Macaca fascicularis: one gene and its partners. The protein of the gene in region 4 interacts with the protein of the main gene of each other region in a biochemical or structural test. Links are inferred from orthologs where the notes say so. Each region holds a gene or a part of one and is shown on either strand. Other genes may lie near its edges.

The links.
Region 1: of the proteins of H2AC20 (region 4) and RNF168, one has a biochemical effect on the other in vitro, tested with the Homo sapiens proteins (4 studies listed by BioGRID, with this or other methods). The link is inferred for Macaca fascicularis from reciprocal best matches to the Homo sapiens genes H2AC20 and RNF168.
Region 2: of the proteins of H2AC20 (region 4) and EP300, one has a biochemical effect on the other in vitro, tested with the Homo sapiens proteins (5 studies listed by BioGRID, with this or other methods). The link is inferred for Macaca fascicularis from reciprocal best matches to the Homo sapiens genes H2AC20 and EP300.
Region 3: of the proteins of H2AC20 (region 4) and UBE2B, one has a biochemical effect on the other in vitro, tested with the Homo sapiens proteins (2 studies listed by BioGRID, with this or other methods). The link is inferred for Macaca fascicularis from reciprocal best matches to the Homo sapiens genes H2AC20 and UBE2B.
Region 5: of the proteins of H2AC20 (region 4) and RNF8, one has a biochemical effect on the other in vitro, tested with the Homo sapiens proteins (2 studies listed by BioGRID). The link is inferred for Macaca fascicularis from reciprocal best matches to the Homo sapiens genes H2AC20 and RNF8.
Region 6: of the proteins of H2AC20 (region 4) and USP16, one has a biochemical effect on the other in vitro, tested with the Homo sapiens proteins (2 studies listed by BioGRID). The link is inferred for Macaca fascicularis from reciprocal best matches to the Homo sapiens genes H2AC20 and USP16.
Region 7: of the proteins of H2AC20 (region 4) and KAT2A, one has a biochemical effect on the other in vitro, tested with the Homo sapiens proteins (2 studies listed by BioGRID). The link is inferred for Macaca fascicularis from reciprocal best matches to the Homo sapiens genes H2AC20 and KAT2A.

The regions. Positions count from the first base shown.
Region 1 is NC_088376.1:1,914,802-1,919,057, reverse strand, and holds the start of RNF168 (E3 ubiquitin-protein ligase RNF168), read left to right. Parts: upstream 1-1,456; 5' UTR 1,457-2,056; coding exon 2,057-2,357; intron 2,358-4,256. UniProt on the Homo sapiens protein: E3 ubiquitin-protein ligase required for accumulation of repair proteins to sites of DNA damage. Acts with UBE2N/UBC13 to amplify the RNF8-dependent histone ubiquitination.
Region 2 is NC_088384.1:10,438,108-10,440,297, reverse strand, and holds the end of EP300 (histone acetyltransferase p300), read left to right. Parts: coding exon 1-565; 3' UTR 566-1,690; downstream 1,691-2,190. UniProt on the Homo sapiens protein: Functions as a histone acetyltransferase and regulates transcription via chromatin remodeling. Acetylates all four core histones in nucleosomes. Histone acetylation gives an epigenetic tag for transcriptional activation.
Region 3 is NC_088380.1:140,910,674-140,914,796, forward strand, and holds the start of UBE2B (ubiquitin-conjugating enzyme E2 B), read left to right. Parts: upstream 1-1,323; 5' UTR 1,324-1,452; coding exon 1,453-1,496; intron 1,497-3,625; coding exon 3,626-3,706; intron 3,707-4,123. UniProt on the Homo sapiens protein: E2 ubiquitin-conjugating enzyme that accepts ubiquitin from the ubiquitin-activating enzyme E1 and transfers it to a E3 ubiquitin-protein ligase. In vitro catalyzes 'Lys-11'-, as well as 'Lys-48'- and 'Lys-63'-linked polyubiquitination.
Region 4 is NC_088375.1:111,389,218-111,391,535, reverse strand, and holds H2AC20 (histone H2A type 2-C), read left to right. Parts: upstream 1-1,322; 5' UTR 1,323-1,379; coding exon 1,380-1,769; 3' UTR 1,770-1,818; downstream 1,819-2,318. Other genes in the region: H2BC21 (histone H2B type 2-E), read right to left, coding at 665-1,045; H2AC21 (histone H2A type 2-B), read right to left, coding at 1,930-2,318. UniProt on the Homo sapiens protein: Core component of nucleosome. Nucleosomes wrap and compact DNA into chromatin, limiting DNA accessibility to the cellular machineries which require DNA as a template.
Region 5 is NC_088378.1:134,291,005-134,294,504, reverse strand, and holds part of RNF8 (E3 ubiquitin-protein ligase RNF8), read left to right. Parts: intron 1-572; coding exon 573-701; intron 702-3,500. UniProt on the Homo sapiens protein: E3 ubiquitin-protein ligase that plays a key role in DNA damage signaling via 2 distinct roles: by mediating the 'Lys-63'-linked ubiquitination of histones H2A and H2AX and promoting the recruitment of DNA repair proteins at double-strand breaks (DSBs) sites, and by catalyzing 'Lys-48'-linked ubiquitination to remove target proteins from DNA damage sites.
Region 6 is NC_088377.1:18,014,167-18,018,231, reverse strand, and holds the start of USP16 (ubiquitin carboxyl-terminal hydrolase 16), read left to right. Parts: upstream 1-1,265; 5' UTR 1,266-1,382; intron 1,383-1,594; exon of another isoform or gene 1,595-1,681; intron 1,682-2,318; 5' UTR 2,319-2,381; intron 2,382-4,065. UniProt on the Homo sapiens protein: Specifically deubiquitinates 'Lys-120' of histone H2A (H2AK119Ub), a specific tag for epigenetic transcriptional repression, thereby acting as a coactivator.
Region 7 is NC_088390.1:63,160,102-63,163,431, reverse strand, and holds part of KAT2A (histone acetyltransferase KAT2A), read left to right. Parts: coding exon 1-56; intron 57-261; coding exon 262-372; intron 373-465; coding exon 466-602; intron 603-683; coding exon 684-892; intron 893-1,118; coding exon 1,119-1,245; intron 1,246-2,409; coding exon 2,410-2,520; intron 2,521-3,330. UniProt on the Homo sapiens protein: Protein lysine acyltransferase that can act as a acetyltransferase, glutaryltransferase, succinyltransferase or malonyltransferase, depending on the context.

The DNA of each region.
Region 1 (4,256 bases), on a different chromosome or scaffold from region 4:
TCTCTGACCACAATATTTCTTGGAGATGCTTTTTAAAGAATTTTGGAAAGCGACCTAAGCGGCTACCTTACAAATCAATAGAAACAAAAACGTACTCACAAGGGTACTGAGGCAAGTATTACTGTTCGGCTTTTTAAAATTTTTTAAAGTTTTTTGAGAGGAAGTCTCACTCTGTCGCCCAGGCTGGAGTGAGTGGCGCGATCTTGGCTCACTGCAAGCTCCGCCTCCCGGGTTCCCGCCATTCTCCTGCCTCAGCCTCCCGAGTAGCTCGGACTACAGGCGCCCGCCACCTCGCCCGGCTATTTTATTTTGTGTGTGTGTGTATATATGTGTGTGTGTGTGTGTGTGTGTGTGTGTGTGTGTGTGTGTGTGTGTGTGTGTGTGTGTGTGTATATATATATATTTTTTTTTAAGTAGACACGGTGTTTCACCCTGTGAGCCAGGATGGTCTCGATCTCCTCACCTTGTGATCCTCCCGCCTCAGCCTCCCAAAGTGCTGGGATTACAGGCGTGACCCACCTCGCCCAGCCTTTTTTTTTTTAAGCCAGAGTCTCGCTGTCTCCCAGGCTGGAGTGCAGTGGCGCGATCTCGGCTCACTGCAAGCTCCGCCTCCCGGGTTCACGCCATTCTCCTGCCTCCGCCTCCCAAGTAGCTGGGACTACAGGCGCCCGCCACCTCGCCCGGCTATTTTATTTTGTGTGTGTGTACCTCGCCCGGCTATTTTATTTTGTGTGTGTGTATGTATATATATATATTTTTTTTTTTTTTTTAAAGTAGAGACGGTGTTTCACCGTGTTAGCCAGGATGGTCTCGATCTCCTGGCCTTGTGATCCGCCTGCCTCGGCCTCCCAAAGTGCTGGGATTACAGGCGTGACCCACCGCGCCCAGCCTTTTTTTTTTTTTTTTTTTAAGCCAGAGTCTCGCTGTCGACCAGGCTGGAGTGCAGCGGCGCGATCTCGGCTCAGTGCAACCTCCGCCTCCTGGGTTAAAGCGATTCTTCTGCCTCAGCCTCCCAGGTAACCTGGACTACAGGCGCGCACCACCAGGCCCGGCTGATTTTGTATTTTTAGTAGAGACGGGATTTGGCCATGTTGGCCAGGCTGGTCTCAAACTCCCGACCTCAGGTGATCCGCCCGCCTCGGCCTCCCAAAGTGCTGGGATTACAGGCGTGAGCCACCGCGCCCGGCCGTGTTTGGCTGTTGAATTTGTTTTGCAGTTTCCCTTTTTCTACCCAGAAACCAAGAAACCCGGGGTGTCTGAGGCCTGGTAGAAATCTCCGGGGAAAGTCAGGCTCCACCCAGGCTGCACCAGCAGGAGCGGCGACGCCTGGGCTGGGCCTCTCCGGCTGGGAGGGCGGGCGGGGCGCAGACGCCGGAAGTCCCGCCCCGGGAGCGTCCGACCTTGGGCGGGTTTCTGGGTGGGAAGCGCGGTTTTGGCGGGCGGTTGTGACGTTGCTGGCGCTTGCCCGGTGGCTGCTGCGCCGCTGCAACGAATAGGGCTTCTGGCTGCGCAAGAGGGACCCGGGCGCGGAGCTCTGGGAAACTGCGCCGGGCGCCGGGAAGCTGAACCCGGGAGTCGCGCGTCGCCCCCGCAGCAGCGCCAAAGCGGAAGTTCTGCAGCAGCCGGAGCTCGGGATTCCTCCCGGAGCCGCGTCCCGGGGCCGGGCTGCCCCGAGCTGAGCGGAGCATCCTCTCCGGATGAGGGGAGGAGGGGACTTGGCGCGCTCCCCTCGCTGCACCGGGAGCCGCAGCCGCAGTGTTCACGCCGCGGAGCAGCCCGGCTCCTCCGACGAAAGCCTGCAGTCGTTTGCTTGCCGGACGTTTGCCTTGAAAATGGACAAAGACGCCGCCCTCCGGGGCGTTCCTGTTTGCCTGACCCTGAGAGCGCCTTTTTGCTTCGAGACGGGTTGGATGCCCCTGTTCTCCGAGTTCTGATACGCTTCTGGGCACAATATTGAAACACAAAACTGTGCTTTTGCTTTCTCTGTGGTTGGCCGAAAATAGGATTGTTTTTCGCGCAGGTGTCGTCGTTTAGTCGACTTTATTAACGTGTTAAAATGGCTCTACCCAAAGGCGCCGTCCCCTCGCGGTCCGAGTGCCAGTGCGGGATCTGCATGGACATCCTCGTGGAGCCCGTGACCCTGCCGTGCAGCCACACGCTGTGCAGACCGTGCTTCCAGGCGACCGTGGAGAAGGCGAGTCTGTGCTGCCCCTTCTGTCGCCGCCGCGTGTCTTCGTGGACTCGGTACCACACCCGAAGGAATTCTCTCGTCAACCTGGACCTGTGGAAGGTCATTCAGAAACACTATCCCCGGGAGTGCAAGCTCAGAGCGTCGGGGCAGGAGTCCGAGGAAGTGGGTGAGTAAACCCCGGCCTGATTATTGGCCGAAAGCCGCAAATCTTTGAAAAGGTGAATCATCGCTTCTCCATTTAAAAAGTACAAACAAACCAAAAAGCCCCACTGATGTTTGTCTAAATAGTTCTCAGGTTTGGGGGTTTATGGGTCCCCAAATGTCGATGGATTGTAAAGTCAAGGACAAGATTTTGTCCCTTGTCACGATGCCCGCGATGTGTTCGATGGGTGTTTGTTGTTTTAAAAATTAAAGAATTGCCCGTCTAGAGCCTTCTTTTTTTTTTTTTTTTTTTTTTTTGAGACAGGGTCTCGCTCTCGCCCAGGCTACAGGGCAGTGGCGCGATCTCGGCTCACTGCAGCCTCCGCCTCCCGGGTTCAAGCGACTCTCCTGCCCCAGCCTGCCGAGTAGCTGGGACTACAGGCGCGCACCATCGCACCCGGAATTTTTGTATTTTCGCAGAGACGGGTTTTCATCATGTTGGTCAGGCTGGTCTCGAACTCCTGACCTCCGGTGATCCGCCCGCCTCAGCCTCCCAAAGCGTTGGGATTACAGGAGTGAGCCACCGCGCCCGGCCTCTGATTTACTTATCTGTACATCTCCATTCACGTAATTCTTTATTCTCCTAGTCATGCAACGAGCCGATCGTGACCAGCCTGGCCAACACGGAGAAACCCCGTCTCTACTAAAAATACAAAAATTAGCCGGGCGAGGTGACGGCGCCTGAAGTCCCAGCTACTCGGGAGGCTGAGGCAGGAGAATGGCGTGAACCCGGGAGGCGGAGCTTGCAGTGAGCCGAGATCGCGCCACTGCACTCCAGCCTGGGCGACAGAGCGAGACTCCGTCTCCAAAAAAAAAATCATGCAACAAGTCTAAAATCGCTTTTTTATCACTAACCCCTACACCCGGTGGACTCAGGAGCCCCAGACTGAACCCTTGACTCTTTCCTCCGCTAGTGTGAGCAATAAGCCGTGCAGTGGTTCCTGTCTGTGCGCTCTCGTCTACGGGTCTTTTTTTTTTTTTTTTTTAATTTTTTTTGGTCACAGTTATATGTGTACCTGCCTTTTAAACGTTTATGTATTTTATTGTGGTAAAAAAACCAAAATGCCATTTTAACCATTTTTAAACAATAGTTTAAGAAAAACAGCTTTATTGAAATACTCACATACCGAACAGTTCACCTACTAAACGTGTGCAGTTTGGCCGGGTGCAGTGGCTCACAGCTGTAATCCTAGCGCTTTGGGAGGCGGAGGTGGGAGGATCGCTTGAACCGAGGAGTTGAGACCAGTCTGGGTAACATAAATTCAATAAAATTTTTAAAAGTGCAATTTAATGGTTTTTTATATATTGCATTATTAATTTTTAAAATACTGTCCAAAATATATATAACAAACTGACATTTTAACCATTTTTAAGTACAATTCAATAGAATTAATTACATTCACAATGTAATCATCACCACTGTTTCCAAAACTTTTTCATCACCCCAGATAAACTCTAATCGTGAAGCACTGACCACCCATTTCACCTTTCCCCCTAGCCCCTGGCACCTATTCCACTTTCTGTCTCTATGAATCTGGCAATTCTAGGTATTTCATATAAGAGACTTATACAATATAGGATCTTGTGTGTCTAGCTTATTTCTCTTAGCGTGTTTCTGAGGTTCATGCACAGTGTGGCATGGATCAGTACTTCATTTTTCGGGCTGAATAATAATTTGTTTTATGGATATACTTGTTACATTTTGTTTATCCATTGGATGGACGTTGGTTTTTGTCACCTTTTCGTTATTTGAATACTGGCAATACGGACATCTGTGTACAAATATTTGTTTGAATACCTGTTTTCAGTTCTTTTGTCTACATATCTAAGAGCGGAATTGCTGGATGCTATGGTAATTCCATGT
Region 2 (2,190 bases), on a different chromosome or scaffold from region 4:
GCAACATCACATGCAACAGATGCAACAAGGAAATATGGGACAGATGGGCCAGCTCCCCCAGGCCTTGGGAGCAGAGGCAGGTGCCAGTCTACAGGCCTATCAGCAGCGACTCCTTCAGCAACAGATGGGGTCTCCTGCTCAGCCCAACCCCATGAGCCCCCAGCAGCATATGCTCCCAAATCAGGCCCAGTCTCCACACCTACAAGGCCAGCAGATCCCTAATTCTCTCTCCAATCAAGTGCGCTCTCCGCAGCCTGTCCCTTCTCCACGGCCACAGTCCCAGCCCCCCCACTCCAGCCCTTCTCCAAGGATGCAGCCTCAGCCTTCTCCACACCACGTTTCCCCACAGACAAGTTCCCCGCATCCTGGACTGGTAGCTGCCCAGGCCAACCCCATGGAACAAGGGCATTTTGCCAGCCCGGACCAGAATTCAATGCTTTCTCAGCTTGCTAGCAATCCAGGCATGGCAAACCTCCATGGTGCAAGCGCCACAGACCTGGGACTCAGCACCGATAACTCAGACTTGAATTCAAACCTCTCACAGAGTACACTAGACATACACTAGAGACACCTTGTAGTATTTTGGGAGCAAAAATTATTTTCTCTTAAGACTTTTTGTACTGAAAACAATTTTTTTGAATCTTTCATAGCCTAAAAGACAATTTTCCTTGGAACATATAAGAACTGTGCAGTAGCCGTTTGTGGTTTAAAGCAAACATGCAAGATGAACCTGAGGGATGATAGAATACAAAGAATATATTTTTGTTATGGCTGGTTACCACCAGCCTTTTTTTCCCCTTGTGTGTGTGGTTCAAGTGTGCACTGGGAGGAGGCTGAGGCCTGTGAAGCCAAACAATATGCTCCTGCCTTGCACCTCCAATAGGTTTTATTATTTTTTTTAAATTAATGAAAATATGTAATATTAATAGTTATTATTTACTGGTGCAGATGGTTGACATTTTTCCCTATTTTCCTCACTTTATGGAAGAGTTAAAACATTTCTAAAACCAGAGGACAAAAGGGGTTAATGTTACTTTAAAATTACATTCTATATATATATATAAATATATATAAATATATATTAAAATACCAATTTTTTTTCTCTGGGTGCAAAGATGTTCATTCTTTTAAAAAACGTTTAAAAAAAAAAAAAAAAAACTCCCTTTCTTCCCCTCAAGTCAACTTTTGTGCTCCAGAAAATTTTCTATTCTGTAAGTCTGAGCGTAAAACTTCAAGTATTAAAATAATTTGTACATGTAGAGAGAAAAATGACTTTTTCAAAAATATACAGGGGCAGCTGCCAAATTGATGTATTATATATTGTGGTTTCTGTTTCTTGAAAGAATTTTTTTCGTTATTTTTACATCTAACAAAGGAAAAAAATTAAAAAGAGGGTAAGAAACGATTCCGGTGGGATGATTTTAACATGCAAAATGTCCCTGGGGGTTTCTTCTTTGCTTGCTTTCTTCCTCCTTACCCTACCCCCACTCACACACACACACACACACACACACACACACACACACACACACTTTCTATAAAACTTGAAAATAGAGAGCAAAAACCCTCAACTGTTGTAAATCATGCAATTAAAGTTGATTACTTATAAATATGAACTTTGGATCACTGTATAGACTGTTAAATTTGATTTCTTATTACCTATTGTTAAATAAACTGTGTGAGACAGACACCCTGACTTTGTTTCACTTGATAACACATCTTTGTCTTGGTGTGCACCAGTTTAAGTGCCCGGTGCTTAGGATTCAGAGGAAAAAGTGAAAGCATTAGCTTATAGCCTCTTTACTACATACAATTTTTCACAAGTAGATCTTGGTTAATTTGTCCAAAGTTCTGGGAAAAAGTACTGCAGGTACCAGCTAACAGTCAAGGTGGAAGTGATACCTACTTAACACCTTGATACAGGATCGCTTAAGGATGACCACATGGTCTTCTAATCACCATCTTACAGGGATGAGGAGGAGGACCTAAGACAACGGATCATACCTGCCTAAGTCCCAAGTAACTTCTTGAAAAAAACAAGACTTGCCAGGCACGGTGGCTCATGCCTATAATCCCAACACCTTGGGAGGCCAAGGCGGGCAGATCATGAGGACAGGAGTTCCAAGACCAGCCTAGCCAATATGGTGAAACCCCCATCTCTACTAAAAATGTAAAAATCAGCAGGGCATG
Region 3 (4,123 bases), on a different chromosome or scaffold from region 4:
AACTAGGGGCAAGGTTGAGGCAATGCTAAGGTCCTCATTCCACCCTCCCTTTACCTGTTGAACCGAACAATTCCCCAAATGGATACAAAAGTACTCAGAGTCCTTAGTATAACAAAGTCCTGAAAGTAGGAATTAGCAGCAATACAGGGAAAGACAGTAACTACAAAAAATATTCAAGGTCTGTGGGAGGTCAACACCTCTGAACCCCCTGGTGGTGGGGGGGCACTTCTCGCCCATTTGCACCTTTCTTGCTAGTGTAAAAAACCTGAAGTTGTCTCAGGCTGGATAGATAACCCTCACTCAGGTCTGCTGGAGCTCTCCCCCACATATGAATCATATTTGTAGGTTTCTTTGACAACCAACCACTCATTGATATGCTTGGAAGACTGCACCCCCACATTCTTAAAAATACAATGGTACTCCCCCCCATAGGCAAGTCCCCGGACTCTGACACATATCTTCAATTGAAAGCAGACCCAGAAAGGAAAAACTGCATAATACACCATCCTTTAATGTTTGCCCAGAATTTCCAATACTAGAAACCCCACTGCAAAGCAGAAAGACTATTTGGTAGCTTCAAGGAACCATTTCAGGAGATTGTTGTGTGGCCCTCAGTATTCAATGCTGCCTTAGAAGATCTTGCGATCCTCTCTCTTCTTGCCCCAAGTACCAGAGTTCATAAGCCACTGAACCAACCAGAGGGGAGTTATTTTTGGTCCCGGTTTAAAGAAAACAAAACAAGCTGTTGATCCTCCCACGACCTCTTGGGTAATGTCTCTATACCTGTGATAAACCGAAAACAACTAATAAAGGTGTATCCAGCCCTCACCCTCTTAGACCCGCTTCACAGACCTGGCCGAAACTCACATCCAGGCGAGGCTCTCACGTGACCCGTTCTAAACGCGTCACAGGGACACGTGGTTCTAGATACTTCTCCCCCTCCCCCTCAGGGGTGGATTGTTGACAAGGCCGCGGGCAGTCACGTGATCTTACATCATCCCACCTCCTTTCCCTGAAATCCCTGGCCCGGATACGTCCTTCTTTCTCCACCCCGCCGAGCCTAAACTAGAGACGGGGAGGCAGACAGGATAGTGTGTCGGTTTCGTGGTCTCTGAATCCACAACCTCTAGTCTGAACACAGAGAACACAAATTTGTCGATCACTTCAGGAAGCCCAGGAAGAACCACGCCCCGCTGAAGGGCTCAGGGAACGCGCGCTCCCCCGTCCCGCCCCCTCCTCCCCCAGCACTCACTCTGTGGTAGCGGCGGAGGGCGGAGGGATCCGGAGGCGGCGGAGGGAGACGTCATTGCAGGGTTGTTTGTCAGTCTTGGCGGCGGCGGCGGCGGCGGCGGCGGCAGCGGCGATCCACAGTGATTCGGCCGCCGCGCCGGGGGGTGGGGGGGCTGCGCGGGACTCTTTTCTTTCAGACTGACCGCGGGGCAGCTGCGGAGCATGTCGACCCCGGCCCGAAGGAGGCTTATGCGGGATTTCAAGCGGTAAGGGCCTTCAGCTTCGCATAGATGACGGCCTCTCAAAGCTGCGGGGCTGCAGGGCGTGGATCCCGGACACCTTCCCCTTGTGACCCTCAGAGGGCCGGCTGTGGGCCCAGGGGGACTGGCGGAAGCCGGGTCCTACCTCGGCCCCTACTCTCCTTATCCTTGCCGCTCGCTCTGGCGCCCGAAGAAATTTCGATACTGCTTCCCCTCCCCCCAAAAAGTAAAACGATGTCGATCGACTGGTCTAGGGTTCCCCGCTGCCCATTTCGGCCAGCTGCCCGGGGTCTCGTCCAGGGGATCAGACGGGGATCAGACATCATCCTCCCGCCCCTGCACCCTGCGGAGACCCTTTCTTGTCCCCTCAAAGTGAGCTCCCGCGGGAGCTTGTTCTTCTCCGGCAGCACCAGTCAGCTTTGTTTCACGGCCCCTCAGTCTTCTCCGAGGAGCCGGGTTGGGGTGAACCTCCCCAGCCCCCCACCCTCGCCAGTCCTTTCCATTTCTGCCGTGAGGGTGGGGTCCAGTGCGTGAGGCTCGGAGGTTAACCCATCCCCCGAAACCCGACTCTGTCCCCGCCCGCCTGAAAAGACCTTGGGAACTGACTTAGAGATCTGGGACCTTAGAGCTGGCCACCCCGGCTGCCAGTGCCTTCTGGAACTCAGATCTGGCTGGTGAAGAAAGCCCTATCTATAGCCTCCCGAGTCTGGAAAAATGCCTTCCCTTAGACTGGCGCTAATTTGATACTCCCTGGGCCTTCTTTGGTAAATAAAATAGGGTTTTGTTAGGAGGTATTGGGGTTGTGAGGAAGAAAATGATTATTCCGTTAGTTTACCTTTTATTGGATACTTAGAGACGTAGAAAAAACAAAATAACGTAGAAAAAACAAAATAAGTGAGAAAACATTTTGATATTCTGCACATTTTTCTTAAAATTTTTTCTGGGGACACCTACCCTAATTGAACAAAATAGCATAAAAACATAGATTTGTCGCTCAGGAAGTCACCTCTCAGCTATTATAAAGCCTATGTGAGGCATTTGGATTTGGCCAACTTATTTAATTCATTCGTAGCTTCTCTTAGCCATTTAAAGGTAGGCGTCAAGCAGTGCAGTTCCTCTAAGGCTTCTGTTTGTGGTGGCCTAATTTGCTTGAGATTGACTAAAAACCTTTTTTTTTATGTGGACTAGTTGCAAATTATGATGCCCCATGAAAACAACTCCATATGTATTTGTGAGTGTGTATAATGTAGCATTTTTAATTGAGGTTACAGTCTCTGAAAGGAGATGCCCTTTTTGGTGCAAAAGTCATTTTTCTAAAGCTTGAAATCAGTGTATCTGATTAGCACTCATGACTAAAATTCAGATAGTAAACTAGTTCATGTCATTGTCGCCCTGGCTCCTTACTGTAATGCTCTGCTTAATTCTGAGTTGAATACATGGCACCTTTTGTAGTTTTCCAGAGATCTATAGGTTACAAGAATTTGACTATGACGAATGTGGGAAAGCCTTGTATTGAGTCTCCTGATTTGAGAGGTAGATTTGATGTTAGTGCAGAGCCTTTAAAATAGGGACTGGCGGAAAACCTACTGATTACTTTTTAAAGCCATTGCTGTTTGAAGCAAAAGGGATAGAGTAAATCTGCTGCCTAATACTAGTTTCCTAGTTAAATTTAATGTGTTTTCAGTCATTTCGTGTTTACACTGAGGTTTGCTTTTTTTTTTTTTCTTGTAGCCATTTTGCAGAAGTAGCCGTGGTTAGGATACACAGTCTTTGCATGTTTAGAGCAGCAAAATCAATGGTTCTGTAAAAATATTACTTGCTTTTGAGGTTTTAAACTTTTTTTGGTATAAGAGGACAGTCTATATACATCAATTCTTGAAGAGATACTCTTGATAATATTGAAAGAGGGATGATTCTCAAGCCCTTCGGATTTTTAGGTAATTTGGAGAGGTATTTAATAAGTATATATACCTGGTTAATATATCTAAGTCATATGGTTCATTTTAGTTCACAATAACAAGGAAATGGAGTTAGTCTGTGTCTCAAAATAGATGGTGTAGTGTCTGTAGGTGTTTATGTGGCCTCCTTAGTGGCCTTAATGTTCAACTTTTTAAATTACAACGCTGGATTTCTAGGTTACAAGAGGACCCACCTGTGGGTGTCAGTGGTGCACCATCTGAAAACAACATCATGCAGTGGAATGCAGTTATATTTGGGTGAGTTGAAAGGTTTAACAAATAATAGGTGTGTGCTGAATCTTTAAGAAAAGTGAACATATAACAACTGTCTAGGAAAAGAAACTGAGGTAGAATGAGAGATCTTAAGGACTAAAACTGCAAGATAAATTAGAAAAAAATTTTTTTCAATTAGAGTTTTGGCCCAGCACAGTAGCTCAACGCCTGGGAGGATCGCTGGAGCCCAGGAGTTCATCACCAGCCTGGGCGATATAGTGAGACAGTGAGACTCTGTCCCCTCTCCACCAAAAAAAGAGTTTTGGCCCAGTCTGGGCAACATAGTGAGAGACCTTGTCTCTACAAAAAGTATAAAACTAACTGGGCATGGTGGTGCCCAGCTACTTGGAAGGCCGAGGCAGGAGGATCACTTGAGCCCAGAAGTTTGAGGCTGCAGCCAGC
Region 4 (2,318 bases):
AAAGTGAACGACGGAAACTGAAATCTACAAATTAGAAAGAGGCGCAGAATTTTGAATATTCATGTCGCCCAATCAGGAAAAGGCTGGGACCCGGCTGCGCGGGCTTCGTCCAAAATACACAGAACGGCTGGTATCCACAGGAGACCCCATCGCACAGCAGAACTGGTGACCGGACACAAAAGGTGCTGCCAAGCGTCAGTCATACACAGCTGTCACGCAGTGTTTGCGGAACCTGGGCTGAATCGTGCCCTGGAGTTCTCTTAAATAACAGCCGAACTCAGCCACTTCGTTTTAGAATGAAACAGACCCAAGAAGCCACCAGGGCGCCAGTGTGGGGCGGGAGTGGGGGCGGGTAAAGAGGCGGATTCCCAACATCCTAATTGAGAACCGACTCCTGGGAATGCTAAGCAGCACAATGAGTGAAGACACGCTCTAGATTCAAAAGCAAATCCAATCATGCACCGGGGACCTCAAGTTCCAAATGGTTAAAAACCTACGTGTGGCATTTCCCATGACCTTTACGCTAAAATTACTTTATGAGAAGAAACTAAGGGAGTAAGTGAACAAGCTCTTTTCTAGTGATTAGGTGGGTGGCTCTGAAAAGAGCCTTTGGAGTCAAGCAGCCGGCGACTCGAGCGAGCGAGCGCCAGGTCCCGGCAGGGACTCACTTGGAGCTGGTGTACTTGGTGACTGCCTTGGTGCCCTCGGACACGGCGTGCTTGGCCAGCTCGCCGGGCAGCAGCAGGCGCACGGCCGTCTGGATCTCGCGGGACGTGATGGTGGAGCGCTTGTTGTAGTGCGCCAGGCGGGACGCCTCTCCCGCGATGCGCTCGAAAATGTCGTTGACGAAGGAGTTCATGATGCCCATGGCCTTGGACGAGATGCCGGTGTCGGGGTGGACCTGCTTCAGCACCTTGTACACGTAGATGGAGTAGCTCTCCTTGCGGCTGCGCTTGCGCTTCTTGCCGTCTTTCTTCTGGGCTTTGGTGACGGCTTTCTTGGAGCCCTTTTTAGGAGCCGGAGCGGATTTTGCCGGTTCAGGCATGGTAAGACACAGTACAAACGCGGCTTAGCCAAGAAAAGAAGTAAGAGAATGGGCGGGCCTGATTCTTTTATAACCACCTTATGCAAATTAGGGCTCCGAAAGTCATTCATTTCCATTGGTCCGTGTGCGGACCTTGCGTTTTCAGCAATGCGTACGCAACAACACCGACTCTTGACTTGATTGGCCGGTTCTGAAGCCATATTAGGACCAATGAAAAACTCGTTCTAGACCCCACCCCTAGGAAAGCTTATAAAGGCTTTCCTCTTGGTTCTCTTTCAAGCTTATTTTGTAGCGAGGTTCTGAGCATTGTCTGTGTTTAACCTTGGTTTCAGTCATGTCTGGTCGTGGCAAACAAGGAGGCAAGGCTCGCGCCAAGGCCAAGTCGCGCTCGTCCCGCGCTGGCCTCCAGTTCCCGGTAGGGCGAGTGCACCGCTTGCTGCGCAAAGGCAACTACGCGGAGCGGGTGGGGGCTGGCGCGCCAGTCTACATGGCGGCGGTCCTCGAGTACCTGACCGCCGAGATCCTGGAGCTGGCGGGCAACGCGGCTCGGGACAACAAGAAGACGCGCATCATCCCTCGTCACCTCCAGCTGGCCATCCGCAACGACGAGGAACTGAACAAGCTGCTGGGCAAAGTCACCATCGCCCAGGGCGGCGTTTTGCCTAACATCCAGGCCGTTCTGTTACCAAAGAAAACTGAAAGCCACAAAGCCAAAAGCAAATAAATGCAGACAAACAAACCAAAGACCAAAGGCTCTTTTTAGAGCCACCCAAGTTTTCAAAAAAAGAGCTAATGCGCTATTTCGTGATCAGCCCTTCATTTGACACTTTGGTGGCTCTTAAAAGAGCCTTTGGGGTGAATGAGTATGGTGTCAAGCCTCTTAATTACTTGTTCTTGCCAGGCTTGTGACTCTCCGTTTTCTTGGGCAACAGGACAGCCTGGATATTGGGTAAGACGCCGCCCTGGGCAATGGTGACACCCCCGAGTAACTTGTTGAGCTCTTCGTCATTCCTCACGGCTAGTTGCAGATGGCGAGGGATGATGCGCGTCTTCTTGTTGTCCCGAGCCGCGTTGCCTGCTAGCTCCAGAATTTCCGCGGTCAGGTACTCGAGGACCGCCGCCAGGTACACCGGGGCGCCTGCCCCCACCCGTTCCGCGTAGTTGCCCTTGCGCAGCAAGCGGTGCACTCGCCCCACCGGGAACTGGAGGCCAGCGCGGGACGAGCGCGACTTGGCCTTAGCGCGGGCCTTGCCTCCCTGCTTTCCGCGTCCTG
Region 5 (3,500 bases), on a different chromosome or scaffold from region 4:
CCAGCACTTTGGGAGGCCGAGACGGGCGGATCACGAGGTCGGGAGATCGAGACCATCCTGGCTAACATGGTGAAACCCCGTCTCTACTAAAAAAATACAAAAAACTAGCCGGGCGAGGTGGCGGGCGCCTGTAGTCCCAGGTACTCGGGAGGCTGAGGCAGGAGAATGGCGTGAACCCGGGAGGCGGAGCTTGCAGTGAGCTGAGATCCGGCCACTGCACTCCAGCCTGGGCGACAGAGCGAGACTCCGTCTCAAAAAAAAAAAAAAAAAAGAAAGAATTCCTCCATCTCATGGTCACTGAACCAGATGACCTTTCAAGATCTTGCCAACCCTGAGATACATGGATAACTCTTTTTCAGCTTTCTCTTCTTGTCACAACTGTTTGCCTTTTTCTATTTGGTGGTTCTCATGGCAGCTGAAGGGGAGATAGCTGATGCACTGTTTTGGTTCCACAGGTGTCTGGTTTCATAAGTCAGGACCTGCATATGCTGCTGGTTGACGAGATTTGTAAAGGACCTCCCTTTTCAGCACAATGACTGATTGTATTTCTTACATTGTTGTTGTCTTCCCAGGTGACTGTAGGACGAGGATTTGGTGTCACATACCAATTGGTATCAAAAATCTGCCCCCTGATGATTTCTCGAAACCACTGTGTTTTGAAGCAGAATCCTGAGGGCCAGTGGACAATTATGGACAACAAGGTACAGGAATTCACAGAATCCTAATGACTTTTATTTGTTTTTAAATTACTTTTTTTTTTTTTTTGCCTAGGTAATTCATGGTATAAAATTCAAAAGTATAACTTCTTCTTTCCTAGCCATCCAGTTTCCTTTTCCAGAGGCGCAGCCACTTCCATATGCTGCCAGAGATTAGATTATGCTAAAACAATTTCTCTTGATTTGGGTTGAAGTTTGTTACCTTGAAGAGAATACCTGAATTGGGGTAGTAGGTCCTATTCCAGAAACTAGACTAAGTTACTGGGCAAATCAGCCTGTTTGAGGTGAAGCTCCCAGAGACCCTGGGAATCTGCAGAATCCGCTAACGCTTCTGGAGTACACTTATGGCTCAGTGAACAGGGGGAGGAGGGAGAAACTGATCTGACTGCACTTAGCTCCTTGCCTTCCTCATTCCTTTCAATCTGAGCAACCTCCCCTGGCTTTTAAAACATGTTTTAAATGTTGGTGTTCTGAAGATTTCCTTTGAATAATGGGTTTTCCTCCTTTAGACACATTTGAAAACCACTAGTTTAGTGGTAAATGTGTTGAGGGAGGTGCAATAGTATATAAAGCCCAGCAATTAGAAAGTACCTCATGTGCTGGGCGTGGTGGTGCATGCCTGTAGTCCCGGTTACTGGGGAAGCTGAGGCAAGAGGATTGTTTGAGCCCATGAGTTCTGGGTTATAGTGTGCTACGCCGTTCTGGTGTCTGCATTAAGTTCGGCATCAATGTGGTGTCCTCCTGGGAGCAGGGGACCACCTGTTTGTCTAAGGAAGGTGAACTGACCCAGGTTGGAAGGAGAGCAGGTCAAAACTGCTGTGCTGATCAACAATGGGATTGCACCTGGGAGTAGCCACTGCACTCCAGTGTGGTTGACATGGTGAAGCCCTGTCTCTATCAAAAAGAAAAGAAAGGCCGGGTGCAGTGGCTCAAGCCTGTAATCCCAGCACTTTGGGAGGCCGAGACGGGCGGATCACGAGGTCAGAAGATCGAGACTATCCTGGCTAACACGGTGAAACCCCATCTCTACTAAAAAAAAATGCAAAAAACTAGCCGGGCGAGGTGGCGGGCACCTGTAGTCCCAGCTACTTGGGAGGCTGAGGCAGGAGAATGGCGTAAACCCGGGAGGCGGAGCTTGCAGTGAGCTGAGATCCGGCCACTGCACTCCAGCCTGGGCGACAGAGCGAGACTCTATCTAAAAAAAAAAAAGAAAAGAAAATACCTAAAGTGCAGATATACAAGCACCCAGGATATATGATGAAAATACAGACTATGAGGTGAGAGAAATTCTAACATAAACAGTTCATGTTTAGGAAGTATAACATGTCTTTAAGTACCATTTCATATTGCTTCACTGCCCCAGTTAGGATTTTAACAGTACCATTAGAAGGGAGGATATCCCACAGATCTGCCCAGCAGCCTCATTTTGCATGCATAAAACTGCTAGATTTAAGCTGTTGTAAAGTATCTTCCTGCTCTAGAATTAAGTTGAGTTGGCACTGTATTGAAGGAGACAATACACAAATGCTAAGTAAATAGGTTCAGCACTTTCAGCAGTGCACTATGAGCAGGGTAAAAATTGGCACTGGCATTATCTACTTTAACCCCTTATGTAGACAGATGAATCTGAGGCCCAGAGAGATAAACTGCCTTGCCCAAGGCCTTCTCTATAATGAGCCAGGACTTAAGTTTCTCTGCTATGCCCTGTGCAAATACCAGTAAAGTACGTAAGCAATTTGCTATACTGGCTTTATGACATCAAACAATTAATTATGCATATTTAAAATATAGCTGCAAGGTTTTAAAGCCTCTGTCATAGTGTATATCAAAACAGCTTAGGAAAAGATGTTTTCCTCATCAGCGTAGGCTGTATGAGAGTTGGGATTACAGTATTATAGAGGTGAGTTTTCTGCTGCTGCTTTTCTTAATTATGTGCAGTGTAGATGTGATCCACTTATGGGATTAGCAGATTTTCATAGGTTGGGAAGCCAACAGCTGATCAACTGTAGTGTTATTTAAATGTCAACCACAGGGATACATAGGCAGCCTGTGCAAGATCAGATCATGACTGTGCTCCGGGCTCGCTCTCCAATGTTTGCTTTGTACCCTTCCTTCTAGGGTTGCTGTTATCATGTGATTCTTCTGAGGTCTCAGTCAGGCAATAGAAAGGAAAGGTTTCTTAACAACCTGTTTAAACTTTTTAGCTGTGATTGTGAGATAACTGATTTTTAAGAGAAGCTAGGACTGGGGCGTTTTGATGGAACAATTCTTACAAGTAAATCCCCCCTCCCCTCTGCACTTTTCTTTTGATTACAGTTGCCCCCTTTCTGGCTTCCTCCTGGCATGATGCCATGGCAGCCCTCTTCTGCTGATAGGGACCTGAATTTCAGCTGTAGGATATTATTGCTGTGGTTGTGTTTGAAGTCATTTGCCAAGTCTCTTTCAAGAGATAGGTGTTTCTAATAAGTTAAAACTCAGAGCTGCATTCTCTTATCTGCTGGAATGGCCAGAAAGTGAGAGCTTAAGTATGGATACAAAAATTGCAAGAAATGTTATTTTGGTTTAAAATTGGCTTAAAATATAGGAAAAAAAACCCTTGGAGGACAGCTAACTCTGCACACAGTATGAGGATGGTTCTAGTTGTGTAGGTTTTGGTCAATTCATAAGCTCTTCAGATGGCCATCTTTGTATTGGTATCCAGCTCTTTCAGAAAATTGGTTGTTTTAAAGTCACAGTATGAAATGCCTTAGAGGTTCGGTCACGTCTTACTTGAGCCTTTCCCAT
Region 6 (4,065 bases), on a different chromosome or scaffold from region 4:
ATTTTATGACCAATTTTTTTTTTATGGTGAATTACCTGTTTACATTCTTTGACTATTTTTCTATAGATATCTGCAACCCCCCCACCCTGGCACCCTTGGTAGGGATTACTATTTTCTCTACTAAACTAAGACTCCAGGGCAGAGAGGCCTATGTTTAATTCATTTGAGGGAAGGCTTGGCACAAAGTGTACCCTTACATATTTTCTTTTTTTGAGACAGAGTTTCACTCTTGTTGCCCAGGCTAGAGTGCAATGGAGTGATCTCGGCTCACTGCAACCTCTGCCTCCAGAGTTCAAGCGACTCTCCTCCCTTAGCCTCCCGAGTAGCTGGGATTACAGGCGCTCGCCGCCATGCCCGACTAATTTTTTGTATTTTTAGTAGAGACGGGACTTCACCATGTTGGCCAGGCTGGTCTCGAACTCCTGACCTCAGGTCATCCACCCGCCTCGGCCTCCCAGTGTTGGGATTACAGGCATGAGCCACCGCGCCCGGCCTCGCACTTACAAATTTTCAAAGAATGAACAGTAAATATTTGAAAATCCCCTCCTCTCCCGCAATTTATGTTTGACACCGTCTTTCAGTTCTGCTTTAAAAATTCACTCTCGCGGCCGGGCGCGGTGGCTCACGCCTGTAATCCCAGCACTTTGGGAGGCCGAGAAGGGCGGATCACAAGGTCAGGAGTTCCAGACCAGCCTGGCCAATATGACGAAACCCAGTCTCTACTAAAAATACAAAAGTTAGCCGGGTGTAGTGGCGTGCGCCTGTAGTCCCAGCTACTCGGAAGGCTGAGGCAGAAGAATGCCCTCCAGCCTGGGCGACAGACGGATATTCCGTCTCAAAAAAAAAAAAAAAAAAAATTAACTCGCTGCGTTTTTTATTCTGACATGGCGCAGGAAGGTAAATTCAAGACAACTCACGTACTCAGTTTTAGAAGTCGAGAGGACAGAATTATGGAAACAGAAATTTAAGCGCTCCCCGTTAGTCTCCAAATGTAATGTGTTCCAGAAAGGTAACCATCTGGGGAACTCCAAGGCTCAGACCACCACCAGATGCCCACACTTCAGAGGCATTTATATAACTTCATGGTTATGTCAGAGACCAGAAAACCCATTGACAACCAAACCCCTAAGCCCGAACTTCCGGCGCAAGCCGCACGCAGGCGCAGATTTACTAGCGTCAGAGCCCATGGTCACGGGAGGTGGGGGTGGGGAGGTGGTGGCCTAGCCACTTCCCATAATGCCGCGTTCCGGAAGTTGTTGCTTTCCAGGGGTCACTCTGGCTTCTGCTCCGTCGCTCTCAATTCGTCACCAGGAGGAAGACGGAGCTGGCTGCCCAGCCCAAAGGCCCATGAGGGGATGCAGTTATGGGCTCTGTCGCCGTGGGTGAGTTCTGGTCGCACTGCCTGGCAGTCGTCGCTCGCCTGACTTCCTGCGCTGGGAGAGCCCCTGTTTTCCGCCCCAACTTCGTTCTCTTCTTGAAGGCCCCACTCTTTAAGCACGTAACCCGGCTACTTCCGGTACTGCGATCTCATTGGCTGCGTGTCTTGTCAGTTCCAGAAGCTGGCCAATGAGATGCTGCTGCTGGCGCCCTTCTTGACCCCGTGGACCCCGGGGTTCCCCGGTGGGATCGGAGCAGTTAGAAGAGGAGGAGAGGGGAGGTGTGGCAGGCGCCGAGCAAGTGGGTGGGTGGCGCGTGGCAGGGACTACCCTATGGGTTGGGGCTGGGTTTGCAGCCGTGTTCTTACTGCTGGTAGGAAAAGCAGGATCTGTCACCTATCCAGTTGACTTCACCTAGGAGAGGACTGATCTACGCAAAACTTGAAAGCCACGTTAAGACCTGCTGACAAAGTTTTCCACACGCTTACATTTTTAATGGAACCGAGTAGGCAGGGGACGACTGGGAGGGCAGAGAGAGAAGAGACTTGGAATAATATGAGAGCCGGCAACACTATCTTTGATTTAGATTTTGTACGGAGCCCTGCAAAGAGTCATTTCACTAGGACGCTAATACTCATCCGATGACACTACTTGAAAAGTGTAGTAAGCTTATTGATGTTTTAGAGCTGATGGAAGTCACAGTATTCTCTCCTCGTGACTCATTAGTTGCCTTTACAGTTGTCAGAAATTTACTGGGGCTCTTTCCGCAGCACTGGAGTGACGCCTCTATGTCGTCTGCCTGCAGCAATTAACAATTCGTCTTTCAAGTTTCCTATGGAGTCTTGAGCTGCTGCAATCCTAAAACCGGATTTACTAGTGCTGTCTGTCTTCACTGCTGCAGACTTCTGACTTCTTATTCTTCACTCTTTTCTTTTTCACCAGAACTTGTTTGCTTCATTCTTATGTACCTACCTTTGCACCTTGTAATCATCCTTTATGCCTCAGGTACTATTCTATTTTTCTATTTAAATGCAAGAAGTATTTCTTCAGGACCTACTATGTACTAACATTATGCTAGATATTATAGGCAGTTCCAAAGCTATGCCTGAAACCATTTATTTTTCTAAGAACTTTAGGTTCTGCTTAGAGAAATAAGATAAACCCAGATAAAAATTTAAGAAATTCACTAGAATATCTGATAAGGGGACAAGATGACTGGAGCATACCATAAATACTGGAGAAGTTCAGTGGAGAGGTTAATTTAGGGTAGAATGATTGTCTAAGTCTTCCTTGAAATGGAGAGCTTGCAAGATTGGTAAGATTTAGATAGATAGAACATTACGGCTAGAAATCAAAGACATCAAGGCGCGGAGGGTACAAAGTGTTTTGGAGTGGAGTACAAGAGACAGACTTGGCCAGGCACGGTGGCTCACGTCTTTAATCCCAGCACTTCGGGAGGCCGAGGCGGGCAGATCACGAGGTCAGGAGTTCAGACCAGCCTGGCCCAGAGTTCAAACCCCTGTCTCTACTAAAAATACAAAAATTAGGCGGGCGTGGTGGTGGGCTCTGTAATCGTAGCTATTCGGGAGTCTGAGGTAGAAGCAGCATTTGAACCTGGGCAGCAGAGCAAGACTCTGTCTCAAAAAAAACCAAAAAGAGACTGACTTGATTGGCAGGTAAAAAGTGGTGGTCTTGAAAACCCAAACATCTGCGTTTTACCTTTTTTTTTTTGTAGAGATAGAGTGTCGCTTTTTTGTTGCCCAGGCTAGTCATGAACTTCCGGCCTCAAGCGATCCTCCCACCTCGACGTCCGAAAGTGTTGGGATTATAGGCGCGAGCCACCGCATCCAGACAACACCTGCCTTTTAGCTCATTTTTGTTACCCTGTGTGATCTTTCACCATTTTTTTTCCTGAGTTTTCTCCTTGAGTGAAATGTCTCTGTTTAAAGTGTTGTTATCGAAATCCGATGTGATAATGTTTGTGAAAGGACTTTGAAGATCAAAAGTACTATATAATTATAATTTTAGTGGGTTTTTTGTTGTTGTTTTTGTTGTCGAGGCATAATAGTCAGGATTAGCTGAGCATTGGGGCCAAATTTATAAAGGCCTATGGTCCCTATTTATAAAGGCTAAAGTTTAGGGAGTGTGGTCTGGGAAACTGTTAAATGCTTTCAATCAAGAGAATGATATAATAAAAATGGCATAACTGGAAGATGAATGTAGTACTGAACTCCCACCCCGATTAGAGTGAGTTGGATTGGAAGCAAGAACTTGGGTGCTATATTTTGTATTTATTTCTAAAATCTATAATTCTAGATAGGTAGACCTGTATGTACTTTTAGCACTTTTCTTGTTTTCTAAGTTTGAATTGTTGACTAAGAAGGTGAAGATGTGATGTGCAGCTAGATTTGTCATAGCCTTCCAAAGTGGTTTTGTCAATAATGTAATAATGTGAATAGTCAAGAATGCAGTTGTAATCAATTTCCATTTAGCTGATATGCATAGGAAATCTTGGTGTGGAAAATGCACAACAGTGTATCACTTTTTGTATTTAGCTTTGAAGCTGTTTTGGAAAATTTCTAACTCCCTTCAGGAGGTTGTTGTCCGAATTATTTTTAATTTTTATTAGAGAAATTATCCATTTAATTTGCATAGACTGCAGAGCTAAGAAAGATAGCTTAGAAGGAAA
Region 7 (3,330 bases), on a different chromosome or scaffold from region 4:
GGAGTCAGGCTTCACCATGCCACCCTCAGAGGGGACACAGCTGGTACCCCGGCCAGGTATGTGCCATGGTATGCTCTGTAGGGTGTCTGGCCTGCCTGGCTGAGCTAAGCCTCCTGGGTGGAAGAGGGCTCAGCTGGGCCAGAGGCCCTGGATCCCACTGAGGGACCTGTCACCAGCTTCAGCCCTCCCGTCCCTGACTTCTCTCTCTCTCTGTCTCAGCTTCAGTCCCCCTGTCCCTGACCTCTCTCTCTCTCTCCTCAGCTTCGGTCAGTGCAGCAGTTGTTCCCAGCACCCCCATCTTCAGCCCCAGCATGGGCGGAGGCAGCAACAGCTCCCTGAGTCTGGATTCTGCAGGGGCCGAGCCTATGCCAGGTAGATACTTGATCCCTGACCTCTGACCATCATTCACTCCTTCCCAAACCTTTTTTTACTGATCCTGACCAACCTTGCCTGCCTCCGCAATAGGCGAGAAGAGGAAGCTCCCGGAGAACCTGACCCTGGAGGATGCCAAGAGGCTCCGTGTGATGGGCGACATCCCCATGGAGCTAGTCAATGAGGTCATGCTGACCATCACTGACCCTGCTGCCATGCTGGGGCCTGAGGTGGGCAGCCCGACCTGCTGACCAGTTGGGGGACCCCCACCAACCTGAAACCCCAGCTCACCGCCCCTCTTCTGTGCCCAGACGAGCCTGCTTTCGGCCAATGCGGCCCGGGATGAGACAGCCCGCCTGGAGGAGCGCCGTGGCATCATTGAGTTCCACGTCATCGGCAACTCGGTGACGCCCAAGGCCAACCGGCGGGTGTTGCTCTGGCTCGTGGGGCTGCAGAATGTCTTTTCCCACCAGCTGCCACGCATGCCTAAGGAGTATATCGCCCGCCTCGTCTTTGACCCGTGCGTCCCCCAGAGAGCCCCTCCCCCAGGGCAGGACCCCCGGGTCCCTTCCTCCTCGGCCTCTTGACTCCTCAAAATTGGAGATCCCCTGCTCCCCACTTCTGAAGTTCAACCTTTGAGCATTCTTATTTCTCACTGCCCAACCCTGACTACAGTTCAGACTTCCAGGGCTCTGGGGACCTGAAGGAAACAGGCAGGGGCTGTGACGTGCCCACCTCTCTCTTAGGAAGCACAAGACTCTGGCCTTGATCAAGGATGGGCGGGTCATCGGTGGCATCTGCTTCCGCATGTTTCCCACCCAGGGCTTCACGGAGATTGTCTTCTGTGCTGTCACCTCGAATGAGCAGGTCAAGGTGAGTGCCGCTCCCCAGCCCACGGCTCGCTCCGGAGTTTGGGCCAGCTCGGAGCAGCGGGAGGTGTGGGATGCAGCAGCCCCTTGCTCTTCTCTTAGTGGCCCGTTCCTCACATCCCCACAAGGTGGCAGCCGTACTTTGATAACTGTGGATTAGGAAACCACCTGTTCACAGACAGAGCCCAAGAAGCGGCCACGCTTTGGTGACCTGTGGACTAGGATTTTCTTCATCACAAGAACATTTACATACATGGGGGAATTAATTACTTTAATTTTTATTTTTTATTTATTTTTTGAAACAGGGTCTCTCTCAGCCAGGCCGGAGTGCAGAGGCATGATCAGGGCTCACTGCAGCCTTGACCTCCCAGGCTCAAGTGATTCTCGTGCCTTGGCTTCCCAAGTAGCTGGGACTACAGGCATGCGCCATTACATCTGGCTAACTTTTGTGTTTTAGTAGAGACAGGGTTTTACCATGTTGCCCAGGCTAGTCTCCAACTCCTGACCTCAAGTGATTCACCTGCCTCGGCCTCCCAAAGTGCTGGGATTACAGGTGTGAGCCATGGTGACCAGCCGAACTAACCGTTATTACAGTAGTCCTATGCTGATAGCCTTGGCTTCTGTCCTTTGTTACAACAGACCCCCTCGTAGGGTCGCTGGCTCTGTGTGTCACATACCTCAGATCTGCGTGGCGCATCGTTGGCCCTGATGTGTGGGAGCCATTGCTCCTGCTCAGGCCTCTGGTGACTCCCTCTCCCTCCTCTCCCAACTCTGAGGCCCAGGGACTGAGAATTGCTGGCCTGTGTTGGGTTTGGACCCGGCCCTGCCACGGCTGGCAGCCTGACCTTGAACGCATTTCCTAACATAGCTGAGTTTCAGTTTTCTCTTTTCTAAAATAGAGGTGGTACTACTCGCCTCTGGGGTTGAGAATCGGTCTGTAAAACAGGAAGCACTGCACCTGGCCCAGAGTGAGCTTAGAAAGCCTCTACCTTTCACTTTCTCCCATAAACTCCCCTCCCTCTGTCAGCTGCCTTTCTTTCTCTTTGCCTGGATGCTCTCCCTTTCCCCACCTCCTTTCCAATCCACCCGCTCCACTCTGGGCTCTGAGACCTCTCCAGCACCAGGCCCATCCTCAGCTCCTGGTGAGTCCTGCTCCCCTCCCCCACAGGGTTATGGGACCCACCTGATGAACCACCTGAAGGAGTATCATATCAAGCACAACATTCTCTACTTCCTCACCTACGCGGACGAGTACGCCATCGGCTACTTCAAAAAGCAGGTGACCCGTAGCCTTATCCCACACTGGTCCTTTGCCTGAAGCCTGGGGTCATTCTGTCCAGCCCCTCTGTTGATGGAGTAGGAGTCCCTTTATGTCCCCTACTTCACCTGACACCTGCCAGGAAAGTCTCCATGCCTATCTTCTTTCCTCTGCTGCCACTGCCCCAGGGGAGAATGGGGGCCTATGGGGCCAGTAGAGCAGGCTGGAGGAACTGGGGGGCCAGTAGAGCAGGCTGGAGGAATTGGGGGGCCAGTAGAGCAGCCTGGAGGAACTGGGGGACCAGTAGAGAAGGCCGGAGGAACTGGGGGCCAGTAGAGCAGGCTGGAGGAACTGGGGGGCCAGTAGAGCAGGCTGGAGGAACTGGGGGGCCAGTAGAGCAGGCCGGAGGAACTGGGGGGCCGGTAGAGCAGGCCGGAGGAACTGGGGGGCCGGTAGAGCAGGCCGGAGGAACTGGGGGGCCGGTAGAGCAGCCTGGAGGAACTGGGGGACCAGTAGAGCAGCCTGGAGGAACTGGGGGGGCCAGTAGAGCAGGCTGGAGGAACTGGGGGGCCAGTAGAGCAGGCTGGAAGAACTGGGGGGCCAGTAGAGAAGGCCAGAGGAACTGGGGAGCCAGAGCAGGCTGGAAGAACTGGGGGGGCCAGTAGAGCAGGCTGGAGGAACTGGGGGGCCAGTAGAGAAGGCCAGAGGAACTGGGGAGTCAGAGCAGGCTGGAGGAACTGGGGGGCCAGTAGAGCAGCCTGGAGGAACTGGGGGGCCAGTAGAGCAGGCTGGAGGAACTGGGGGGCCAGTAGAGAAGGCCGGAGGAACTGG